Linked DNA regions of Macaca fascicularis. The protein of the gene in region 2 binds, or shares a complex with, the protein of the main gene of each other region. Links are inferred from orthologs where the notes say so. Each region holds a gene or a part of one and is shown on either strand. Other genes may lie near its edges.

Region 1 (3,823 bases), on a different chromosome or scaffold from region 2:
CTAAAGTCCTTAACAAATGTGAGGTTAGGCATGGTGGTTCACTCCTGTAATCCCAGCACTTTGGGAGGCTGGAGGATTACTTGAGCTCAGGAGTTTGAAACCAACCTGGGTAACATAGTGAGACCTCATCTCTACTCAAAGAGAAAAAAAAAATTTTAGGCCAAGAATGGTGGCTCACTCCTGTAATCCCAGCACTTTGAGAGGCCCAGGCGGGCAGATCACGAGGTCAGGAGATCCAGGCCATCCTGGTCAACATGGTGAAACTCCTTCTCTACTAAAAATACAAAATTTAGTGGGCATGGTGGCACGTGCCTGTAGTCCCAGCTACTCGGGAGGCTGAGGCAGGAGCATCGCTTGAACCTGGGAGTTGGAGGTTGCAGTGGCCCCAGATTGCGCCACTGCACTCCAGCCTGGCGAAAGAATGAGACTTCATCTCAAAAAATAAAAAAAAAAAGTTTTAAGAGATAAAAAAGAAGTGAACATGTACACATGCCTTGAAAAGAGAAGATAATGTGGACAAGGTGATTTGAACAGACAATAGAAACATAACTGGAAGCAAGATTCTTCTGAAGGTGCTGTAATGGCTGAATAGTTAAGACACAAACTATCACCTTCAAAAATCAATTCGTTTTATTATCTTAGTTACATTTTCCTTCGCCCTTCCGACACATCCAACACTTAAACTAGCATCAGGCATAGAGGTGACCACAGTAAGTATTCATCAAATGAATACCATGAATAAATGAATAGCTGGGGAAAAACTACTCTCATAAAGAGAACACAGATTTGTACAGTCAGTTTATTTTTGCTATTTATATTAAGTTTACACGTGCCTGATCTGTAGTGGATATCTCGTTGTTAGTTCAGCACCACTTCCTTCCTCTGAGACAGACTGACTCTTCCATACATAGACATAGTGGGGACTGTCAAATTATTATGGGAGCCAAGTCCCAGTTGATTTGCCCAGTTGGAATCAAGTATGCAACCCCTAATTCCTCATGTCTAGGTCGTTAATTAACCTCATTTTTTTTCGTATTTGAGAGAGAACTCCCAGACAGTGGTAAACATAGAAATGCTTAACACATGGGAACTGTTAGTTGCCATGTTCTCCACCTACATCATTAAAGAAGTTCATCAGTAAAGAGAATGAAGCTAACAGGAAGGATGGTCTCCAGGGCTACTAACTCAAAACTTCAGACACTTTCTGTCCTCCTCATGGTTTATATGTTCAACTTATCCTTCAATCAACATACCCTATATCCTTTCCTTTTAAAATTAAATAGCAATGGAGAGAAGTTCTCACTATGTTGCCCCCGCTGGTCTTTTCAACTTTCTGGTTGAAAAGGTCTGGGATGGAGCTAGAGAAACTTCATTTATTTTTTATTTTTCTGAACCTATGGATTATACTAAAACTTTTATTTCTAGTGAGTCCCCAAATGGTACCAATGCTGCTGGTCCAGGACCACACACTTTAAGAACTACTGGCCTACATTAAGAAAATGGCAGGCAAAGATCCTCAGAAACAAAGTCAACTCTCTACTAACACCTTGGTGGAAGAGGTGATGGACAGTGGGGAGAAGAAAGTGCTCACATAAAGTCCAATTAGTGAGGGGCAGAGTGGAGTTAATGAAAAGAAGACTTAGTCCTCACAGTCATTCAAAGACCCAGACTGACAATCTTTGCCATCTTCGGTGGCTTCCAAACTTATCCTGGATATGACCATGCAACCAGCAGTTGGGAGAAAAGAATGGAGGATCATGCAAGAAATGTTTATGGGGCAAGCCTGGATTCCTATGCCCACATTTCACTGCCTAGAACTTAATCATATGTTCTCACAGAGATGCTGGCAGTACGGAAATGTCCCTGGTTGGGTTGCCACATCTTGGCAACGTATCTTCAAAGAACAAGACTCTCTGGTAGACACCTAGCAGTCTCTGCCGTCAAACCCCTTTCCCAATGTGGACTTAAGCAAGTCTGGGCTTAGCTTTAAAGAAAATGTGTAGCTAATGACATAGACATCTTAATTACTAAAATTAATGTCTGTAACTTAAAATGGCCAAAGGACTTATTACCTGAGTGACTGGAGAAAAAAACAATTCATGGGACTTGCCTGCAAGAGTCTATTCAGGATAGGGAGAAAAGACTGAGATAGTGGGTTTACAGGAGCAGTCATGAGGAAAAAATAAAGTTTCTGTTTTATAATTCTTCTGGGCTCCTCTCTATTAACATGTTATACTACCTTTTGCAGCTTAAGCAAAATTTTTAATGGAATAAGTTTAAAGATATCATAGTTTTACATTTATAGATTGATATCCATTATTCCTCTATCATTCTTAAAGCAAATGATAAATCCCCTTTTCAAAGACGAAAACTTTTGCTATTACTGAGGTTATCATCAAAGTTTTACCGCAACTCCAAAACATAGGAATGTCCCATACAACAGCGGTGAACACTTTGCTTTTTAAAGTGATTATTCTTAGTGCAGGGGTACTCATTTGTCTATGCTTGTTATACAGTGAAATTACTGCCTATGACATCTCATAATTGAAAAAGTTGGAGTCAAGATTAAAGCTGTTTACATTTTTAGTGAAACCTCTCTTAAGACTGTCCAAAAGAAAATAAACTAATATATGAGGCTATTTATCAAAAGGAAAAAAGAAACATAAACATCTTTCATGGTCTTTCATTCATTTCATCAATTAGGACACACAAGGCAGCATCTTTCTCTATAATCTGATCTCTCCTATGACCTGAATTTTCTCTTTGTTCATTCTGTCCAGTACAATTGTTGCTATCATCAGCATCCATTGGTTCAGTTTTTACTCTCATTCCTGCTTCTGAATGAGGCAAATCATCAGGCAAAGAAGCCAAGCAATTCTGAATCATTTCAATTACTCGTTCTAGGTGCTTTTGAAACCTCTCAGCTGTTTCAAGCCGTTGACGTTTCTGGACCTCCATCATGACTCTCAAGGTCTCTCTTGCTTGGTGGGGTCGGTATTCATTTATAAGATGATGCACGTGTACAAAAAGCAGCTTAAGATCTTCTAGTTTCTCTTCTCGTTTTATACTCCCAGGGCTCCTTATTAAAATATCTAAAAGGTCCAAGAAATTAATAAGGATAGACATATTAAGTTTTCTCAGTTCTTTTTTGTGATCAAACTGCATAGGATGAAGCCGTTCGATGCCCTGACTTTCCAAAGGGCGGATGATAAGATCATCGCATTGGAACTGATTGCCAAACATCATGTAACTATCTTTTATTGGAGGGGGAGGCTTGGGAGCTAAGCCTTCTTGAATATTTTCATCTGTATATTCCTTGATATATTGCATTGGAGGTGGTGGAAGTGCACTTACTTGCTGTGGTTCACCCATTGTGGACTATCAAGAACCTATGGACACAGACCAAAGATTTATTAGAGCCACAAAACAAACCTGTTACATTTCATAACTACAGACAGAATATTTTCTTCCTTTTCTTCCAGTAGTTTGGGGTCCAAGACAAGATGATCTCCTTGGTTTCTAAAACTAACATTTATGATAGGTAAAGTTTGCCATATTTTCTAAGTAGGCATTATATTCTCAACCATTCACATATTTTCCATTCTCTCCCTAATAATTTCATCAGCATGAAAAAATCTGTAGCATCTTCTGATCTCTAAAGAAAATCTTCCACCGGGTGCGATGGCTCACACCTGTAATCCCAGCACTTTGGGAAGCCGAGGCAGGTGGATCACAAGGTCAGGAGATCGAGACCATCCTAGCTAACAGGGTGAAACTCCGTCTCTACTAAAAGACAAAAAAAATTAGCCGGGCATGGTGGCGG
Region 2 (4,252 bases):
ATTCCCTCCAGCTCCCCTGCTCAAAGTCAGCTTCCTTTCAACCCCTGCCACCTTACCTGGTTGACCTGCTTGAGCCATTTGTACCCCACTGAGCATTGGCTGCTGCTGGCTTGGAGCTCCTGCCATCTGCACCTGCTGTAATCCTGAGGTTCCTGCAAGGATCGTCCCAGCTCCTGGCTGGCCTGGCTGGCCAGGACCACTGCTGCCTGAAGGTCTCCAGTTAGACAGTCCTTTCCCAAAGGCAACAGCTGCCACCAAGGCATTAGTGTCTGTAGGGTTAAAGGTCTGCTTGTTTGGCCGGAGACCTGAAGAAAAAGTAAGTGGGGATCCTGAAGTATGTTTCTGATGCAGGACTGAACGTGGCAGCTGGAAGACCAGTATGAGTGCCAGGGTTTAGAGTTCTGAATTCAGCAGCATCTAGACTCCCTCACAGCCCATAAAAAGAGCCAGAGGACCCCCAAGCCTATCTCAGAATTCTCTCTTCTTACTTTGCCCATTTCCTCCACTGCTTCAGGGTTGGCCTTAAATACAAAAGGCTAACAGAATGGATGCAAACCCTAAAGCAGTTCACTCTTGTGTCCTAACTTCACTACTCTCGAAACAACCATTCCCATTCCAGTGATCTTATATACCTCTCCTTCTCTGTTTTGCCACCAGTCCACCATACCTCCACTCTCTGATTCTCGCTCCTCTTTGCTGATTTTCTCCAGAAGGTTTGAACACATTTTATTCAAGCTCTGGATCTGCTTCTGTAACACACAAATTTGTGCAGAGATTAGGGTAACTAGGAAACGATATGGACAAATTTATTCCTTGGGTTCTGCCAGAAGCAGCTTAGGTGCAACCAACTATGCATCCCTACTAGACAGGAATGGTAATGCCTAGCTTCTCATGATGGGATGGGGATGGGGCAGCAAGGCAGTGACTCAGTCCAACCTGGGCTGCATCTGCACCAATGCGGGCAGCATCTGTCGTCAGTTGCTTCTCCTGTTCTTCCACCTCAGGGTCAGGCTTGGTTCTCAGATGGTCAGGGACTACCTCATGGCTGAAAACGGGCACCCGTCCTTCAGTCTGCCGCTGCAACACACAGATTTTATTGATCCTACTATGCACTCCAAGAAGATTCTATCTGGCCTGATATACAGTCCCATCCACAGGCAAACAGTGCATTTTCAAGGAAAATACAACCTAAGACATAATATCTAGTTTCCTAGGACACAATCTCCTTTACTCCAGCCTTCATTTTTTGTGTCTTCTCACATCCCTATCTCTACCAGACCTAGAGGCAAATTAAACTATCACTGTCTGCCACGTTTCAAAGACTGAAACAGACAAAGTCACCAAAGGGCAGACTTTGTGGCTTGAGACAGATGTTGGAGAAGGAAGGTACCAGCCTTGGTGACATACCCCTCAGGTTATTACAACACTATTTGGGAGTGGCTCTCCCACCTTCAGAAGAACAAAAAGCAAGGCCTCCAAAATTATTTCTAAGTTCTCAGCTAAGAACTTAATTTCCCTAAATAGTAAAGAAGCCTAAAAAACTCCTTAATTTCCCAAGTTGTATTCTTTTTCTGCTCTTACCATGAGATCTTCATCTCGGTCTGGAGACAACACCAGAGGGATGATGACCTGGTTACGGAACAGCGGTGTTTTTTCATGCTTCAAGACCTTGTTCAGAGTGTTCAACTGTCCAGAAAGCAAGGCAAAGCTGTCCAGGACAGATGGCCTGTTGGCAGTAAGCAGGTGTCAGAATGTTCCACCCCTTCCTTGGGTGGTTCTTAGTAAAATAGTCCTAGTTCCTTCAGGCTAGGAACACTCGGATTTATCCCCAAAAGTCTCATAGCCCTATGACTAGCCTAAGTGGGAAGAAACTAACAAGGATGACAGGGTTATGAAAGAGGGACATAGTTTCAGTTTATGAAACAGATGTAGAAAAAATCCAGTTCATTGTTTGAATGAGGTGAGGAACAGTGGCAAAATAGGACTATACTGTTATAACTAAAACTTCAGAAACCCGGTAAAATCCTTCTTTCCAGCCTGGAAATAGGATCCACACTTCAGAGTAGGTTGGATCTAAAGGACTCAGCCATATTTGTGGCAAGAGATCCAGCACAAATAGAGCTGTAATAGGAGGACCTCCTCACCAGAGAAGTCAAAGGGTAAGAATTGAAAGCTATAATGAACTTGGGTTAGGAAACCGAGCATTTCTCTACTTCCTTGCCATGGAAGCCACTTGCTAAATGTTACGAAACCCAGCTCTTTCCAAATCAAAAGATGTTTGTAAACTGATAAATGGTTACATCATTAGAAGTGTCCTATTCATCAGAAGGCTAGGCCCCCCCACCCATAAGCCCTCCCTAGCTTGCCCTGGCAACCCTTACCAGGTCAGCCGGCCATACTCGTTCTCCAACTTGCAAATGAAACTTCCCAGTGAGTTCTTCAGATCAGCCACTTGACTCAGCAGTGCATCTAATGATGCCTCAAGCTGCTTCTCCTCTCTCTGCACCAATAGGAACAGGTTGGTTACCCAGATAAACGAGTATGACACATAGAAAGGAGGGCTGAAAAGCCAAGGAGATGGTGTGCAAACACCAGTCAGGTAACAGGATCTCATTGGCATAGGATAACCAGGTTGTTTCCTATCTGTGGTATTTGGGTTATAGACAGCATCAACCCTGAGACCTTTCAACCGTTTGCCTGACCCAAGTACTTCCACCAACTGATTCCTTTTTCCCATCCGCTCCTAATCTATGCCTGGTTTTTCTCTGTATTAGGTACACCCTACACTCCCTCATTGAGACATTTTCGACAAACCTAATGCCAGATCATTATCTCATGTGCACCTCTGTAGCACATGCACTCCAGCTTCCTCCATCCTAGCATTTGTGAGCCTGGCTCTCTTGTCAGTCTCTGGGAAATCTGCCTACTCATGAAGACTTCTCTGAATACCAGCCCTGCTCTCCTCTTTCCCTCCCCCCACCAACCACTCCAGCTTTCCATCTGCTCTCATCATTTCATGTTTCAACCTTCTCCTCGCTGAATTAATATGCACCCATCTATCTCTGTGTCAATATTCCCGTGCCTCTTTCACAAGCTCGGTCAACCCAATAACATTTCTTGAGACTACCAGCTGCAGGAAACTAAGTGACAAATGAAAACCAAAACCGCACATGCTTCTAAGCACTGAACAAACAAATTAAAATGCCGGGGGTCTGCAAAGCATTTCCTTCCCATCGGTGGTATCCTGTTTTATTCCATTTCTTCACCCTTAACAACTATAGGGCACAGGCTGGGAAGAGTGATGCAAAACTGTCTTGCAAACCTGCTAAGGTGCCTGACAGGAACTTGATCCTGGGTTCCACCATGGCCTCACATTACAAGCTGCTTAGCTTTCGGACACCGCGGCCCACAATTCCCTCACTGCTTGGGCTTCTTTCCAATTAGATCCCCTGCTATATCGGCATCCAACAGCCTCCATCCAGCAGCTTAGGACAGGGCCTGAGCCAACCCACCACCTCCTGAGCCGTCTTCCTTGGACTGCATCTCGGCCTCCCCGTATTACAACCTAATCCTTTCCCACGCCAAGCAAGTCAGTGCTGCCTCCTCCCTCCGGATTTAGCCCGACCGCCTTCTGTCAGGCGAGCTCCACCCCCACCTCTCATCTGCGCCGCTCCCTCTCCAATTAACCTCGCCCCCCAACCCACGTTCCCTTATCAGCCGTGGGTTCTGCCCTCTTTTCTCAGTCCCAACTCTTCATTCTCCTTAGCCAGCCCACTCTGGCTCCCTGTAGCCGAAGCTGGCCAGCCGCTAGCACTCCCAACGCGGCTCTCACCTGCATTGCGGCGGCCGAGGCGACTGCAACGATTTCCACTTCCGGTTTCCTGTCAGCAAACGCCTCTGAGAAGGCTTCGTCCACCAATCAGAAAACTGGAACTCGGCCCTCCCACCCACTTCCTGTTCCTTCCGGGTGCCGAGGTAGCCAGGTCAGGGGTCAAGAGTGGAACACACGGGCCCGGGCCGGCGCGGGAGGGCTTGTGTGATGGCCTCGGAGCGCCCCGAGCCGGAGGTGAGGGGCGGGCGGACGCAGCACTGGGCCCTGAGATCCGAGGGGGAGGGTCCGGCGGGCAGGCGTGGCGTTGGCCTCCTCTGGGTCTGGGGGTGGCCGGGCTGCGTAGCCTCGGCAGGGACCAGCCCAGCCCGGAAGGCCCGACTATGGTACCCCTGCGGACTATGGGACGCGGTCTGCAGTTTC
Region 3 (3,621 bases), on a different chromosome or scaffold from region 2:
TCCAACCCCTCAGCAAATTCCTTGGACAGCAATCTAGGTTCAAAACAGATCATCACAAGGTGCTGGGGAACAGTACCTGGGGGATGGGAAAGTGGGTGGCATACTGCACGTGTCGTGGCTGGTCGTAAAGAACCCCAAGGGTCCCTTCGATCTTCTCCTTGGGTGGGGGCTTCACCTCCTTCTCGACATCTGGCTTCTCCGGGGATGGACTGCCCTTCCCCTCACAGGGCATAGTAGGGGAGAACAACTGAGAGAAAGGTGAGAAGGCAGAACATGAGAAGAAGGAAAGGGGATGAGCGGGGGTAAAGAAATGCCAAACGCAGGCATAATGGGAAGATCAAAGGAGCCAGATTCTGCCACGCTCAGGATTGAACTTACTGAGAAATCAGGCTTCTCCATGTCCTCAAAGAGCACACTGGAACTAGGGTCAATGTCCATAGATTCTGAAAGCCCTGGATCCTGAGGGCATAGAACATAAGCAAAGTTGCTTTAGCCCTAGGGAGCGGCTCCCACCATCTAGAAAACTTCACGGGGGAATTGGAGAGAGAAGACCAGATTGTGGAAAGCACAGGATCTGGAGTCAAGTCATCCAATCACTTAACCAGTATAGGCCTCTGCTTCCTTCAGCTTGAAAATGGGGACAAGAGTACCTCACAAGGCTGATGGGAGGAACCAATGAAACAATTGATGTGATAGTGCTTGGTCAATCACCAAGTGCTAAGAAAATACTACCCCCCTGCCCCACGCAAAAGACGCTCTTAGAGGCCTCTGGGAGCCATGAAGATAGAAATGTCAGAAGAAACGATCTAGGGCAAGGAAAAGCCCACTCACCTCCAGCTTGCTGCTGCTGCTGCCTTCAGCCTCCTTGTGCTCTGGGTCATCGGCAGGATCATCAAAGGGAGAGGGAGGCCGGGGACCAGGGGCTCCAAAGGCAAGGTCCCCTCGGGAGATGAGAGTGCAAGTATACATGTTGTGGGAGAAAACATCATGTCGAATCAGTTCACAGAACAGCAGTACTAAGTTAAAGAATTCCACCCGCTCACTCTCACTTCGGGGGTCCGCTGGAGGAAGGGAATGAGGAAACATGAGTTAGGAGAACACAAAAAGGTGGGCCAAAAGAGAGAGGGACACACCTAAGGCAATTAATAGGAGTGATAAAATAAAAATCCCAGAAACTGTCGAGGGACAAAGCGTGGTTGGTTACCTCACATGCTGCCCCACACACCATCTCAGAAAGGAATGTAATGTCTTTGTTGCGATTTACGCAGTGAAAATGCTTCAATCACAAGCTCTTGTTTTAATCCTTCTCTGTATTTCTCTACTTTAACTGTAAGATGATCAGTTAAAGAGGATCACTAGAACTACATCTAAAAGTCATTCTGCATAGAGCCCAAGAGAGAAATATACTTTTTGATGACAGTGGCGGGTAACTGAGTCTAGGCAGACGCAACTAGAGAGTGGTAGGGGTCCGTACTCAGCATGGGAGCCTGTGTATCCAGAAACTGCAGGAGGACATCCTGGAAAATGGGAGCACTAGGAGCAGAAAGGGAGCCAGAGGCGATGGAACCCTTCTCATCTGCGGCTTCTGATTCTCCACAACGCTGCAAGATGACAGAACAAATTGTAGAACTGACTTTTACCTGCTTCTTCACTCCTCAATGTGTAGGCCTTAAACTACTACCTGCTTGACCTCTACCCCATGCTTTTCATTTTCATTCCCCTGCTGACCTCCATCTTCTTTACCACCTCCCAACTGAAGCCTTGATGTTATCTCTAATTCTGATAACAATCCACTCTTCTCTACTTTCACCTCATGTCCGTAACTTTGCCTTTAGGTTCTCTTCCACTTCTTTCCTCTGTTCTCACACCTTCAACTCTGGTCCCTCCACCACCTCCATCTCTTGGTCTCCAACCCCAGTAAATTCCTTCCCATTGGCCAATCTCATTCTCTTATCTCTGCCCTCTAACCTCAGCCTCAATCTCCGCCTGTCTCTTCTCCAGGAGCTTGGCTACCACCATAGCACGATGCCGACCAGAACGCTTGCAGCTGACAGCCCATTCACATAGCAATGACACCACAGCATCATCATCTGAGGAGATCTGGAGACCAAAGGAAGAGAGGGAGGAGTAAGGTAGGGGTGGGGACAAAGAAATGAGTTCCAATTTCCTGAAGACTGCACTCCATCATAAAACATTCTGGGCCCAGTAAGATCATTTCTGCAGATATGCTCTGCTTTCAATGCCTCACCATGACTTCCCCTCAGATATATTATTGCTCTTGCAATGTTTTTTGCTCCTTCTATTCCCCTTTTCGCTTACCTCATGCCCATCCTTGCTAGGCCCCAATCCAAAGATTCGGTTACAAAGTGAGTCAAGAGAGTTGCTGAAGTCAGAGCGCTCAAAACTATGGCTATCCAGCACTTCCAAAGTATGAAGCACCCGTCCAATGGTGAAGCCTAAGGAGGAAAAGTGGTAAAGGGGACTGAACTAGAGGCCCAGTGCATTCTGGCTCTCAGATCTACATGTCCTTACTATCTCCATCCTTTCCTCAAACATACTTCCTATTATCTGTTCTCCGACACATACCTGCAGTAGCTTCCTGGCATTTATCGAAAGACCAGCGAACTTCAACTGCCTGTCCCCGCTCCTTGATCTGCTGCTCGATCTCCCGCAACTTTGCACGGACCTGCAATGTTAAAAAGGAAGGCTATAAGGATGTACCAAGGCATACAAAAGGCCAGAGCCCCAGGCTAGAAGAATAGTACCAGACTCCAAATCACTATTTCTGAGAGAGCACTTTAGCCTCATAGCCCAATCAGAGTACCAGGCGAGTGGTCAGACATACCTGCTGAGTGAAGGCACTGTTACCCTCTGGCATGGGCAGGTTGGAGGGGGCAATAGGCAAGTGGTCAAGTGGTGAGCCGGTCTTAATTCTGCTATCAGTCAGTGAGTAGTGCCAAACCAAGGCACTAGGACAACACAGGAGGATGGTCTGCCAGATAGAAACAGCTAAGTCCAACTCGTTCACATGGCTACCCCTCTGGAATCCCATTCTAAGACCAAACCCGTAGATTCCAGATCCAAAGTTATTCTGACTGGGCCCCCAAGACAGGCATCACTCCACCCGATCCCCTCCCTTCACTCACTTTCCTAAAAGGCTCTGGGCCTACTATTTAGCCCTGGAAGGGAGAGAGAGGCTGGTCAAAACCCCCAAAGGGGACTAACACCCCATTACCAAGAAACAACCACCTCCAAGCAAGTACTCAGCACCTACTCCCACATCCAATTTGGAATTACCCCTATACTCTGGGATGGGCACCCAATTCTTCTCAGGTTATCTCTCAATGCTTCCTTGGGCCCGCCTAGTACCTACCTGTAGGATACAGCTGAGGCCAAAAACCAGGGGCCGGTGCTGAGGGCACATAAGCAGGTCACTAAAGGGAGTCGAGGGGGTGCTGCTAGTTGGGGGCTGAGGAGCAGGGGTGGTGGGTAGCGAGCTTGTTGACTGAGCAGATATAACATGAGATGAGTGACTGCTCACACCATCTAGCTGCAGGGCCAGTCTCCGTGTACAAAAGTAGGCAAGGCGGCGGGACAGGTACGCAGACTGAACAAATTCCC

The links. Proteins that work in one complex are often made in the same cells at the same time.
Region 1: MED8 (region 2) and MED7 share a complex: the UniProt entries of both Homo sapiens proteins name them as parts of the mediator complex. The link is inferred for Macaca fascicularis from reciprocal best matches to the Homo sapiens genes MED8 and MED7.
Region 3: MED8 (region 2) and MED12 share a complex: the UniProt entries of both Homo sapiens proteins name them as parts of the mediator complex. The link is inferred for Macaca fascicularis from reciprocal best matches to the Homo sapiens genes MED8 and MED12.

Annotation. Positions count from the first base shown.
Region 1 is NC_088380.1:163,927,899-163,931,721, forward strand, and holds the end of MED7 (mediator of RNA polymerase II transcription subunit 7), read right to left. Parts: intron 3,390-3,823; 5' UTR 3,373-3,389; coding exon 2,674-3,372; 3' UTR 608-2,673; downstream 1-607. UniProt on the Homo sapiens protein: Component of the Mediator complex, a coactivator involved in the regulated transcription of nearly all RNA polymerase II-dependent genes.
Region 2 is NC_088375.1:191,388,106-191,392,357, reverse strand, and holds the start of MED8 (mediator of RNA polymerase II transcription subunit 8), read right to left. Parts: upstream 2,922-4,252; 5' UTR 2,738-2,921; coding exon 2,382-2,737; intron 1,727-2,381; coding exon 1,582-1,726; intron 1,078-1,581; coding exon 937-1,077; intron 750-936; coding exon 668-749; intron 306-667; coding exon 57-305; intron 1-56. Other genes in the region: KICSTOR complex protein SZT2, read left to right, coding at 4,040-4,066. UniProt on the Homo sapiens protein: Component of the Mediator complex, a coactivator involved in the regulated transcription of nearly all RNA polymerase II-dependent genes.
Region 3 is NC_088395.1:77,823,123-77,826,743, reverse strand, and holds part of MED12 (mediator of RNA polymerase II transcription subunit 12), read right to left. Parts: coding exon 3,374-3,621; intron 2,993-3,373; coding exon 2,846-2,992; intron 2,687-2,845; coding exon 2,587-2,686; intron 2,457-2,586; coding exon 2,320-2,456; intron 2,101-2,319; coding exon 1,969-2,100; intron 1,602-1,968; coding exon 1,475-1,601; intron 1,062-1,474; coding exon 832-1,061; intron 460-831; coding exon 379-459; intron 248-378; coding exon 77-247; intron 1-76. UniProt on the Homo sapiens protein: Component of the Mediator complex, a coactivator involved in the regulated transcription of nearly all RNA polymerase II-dependent genes.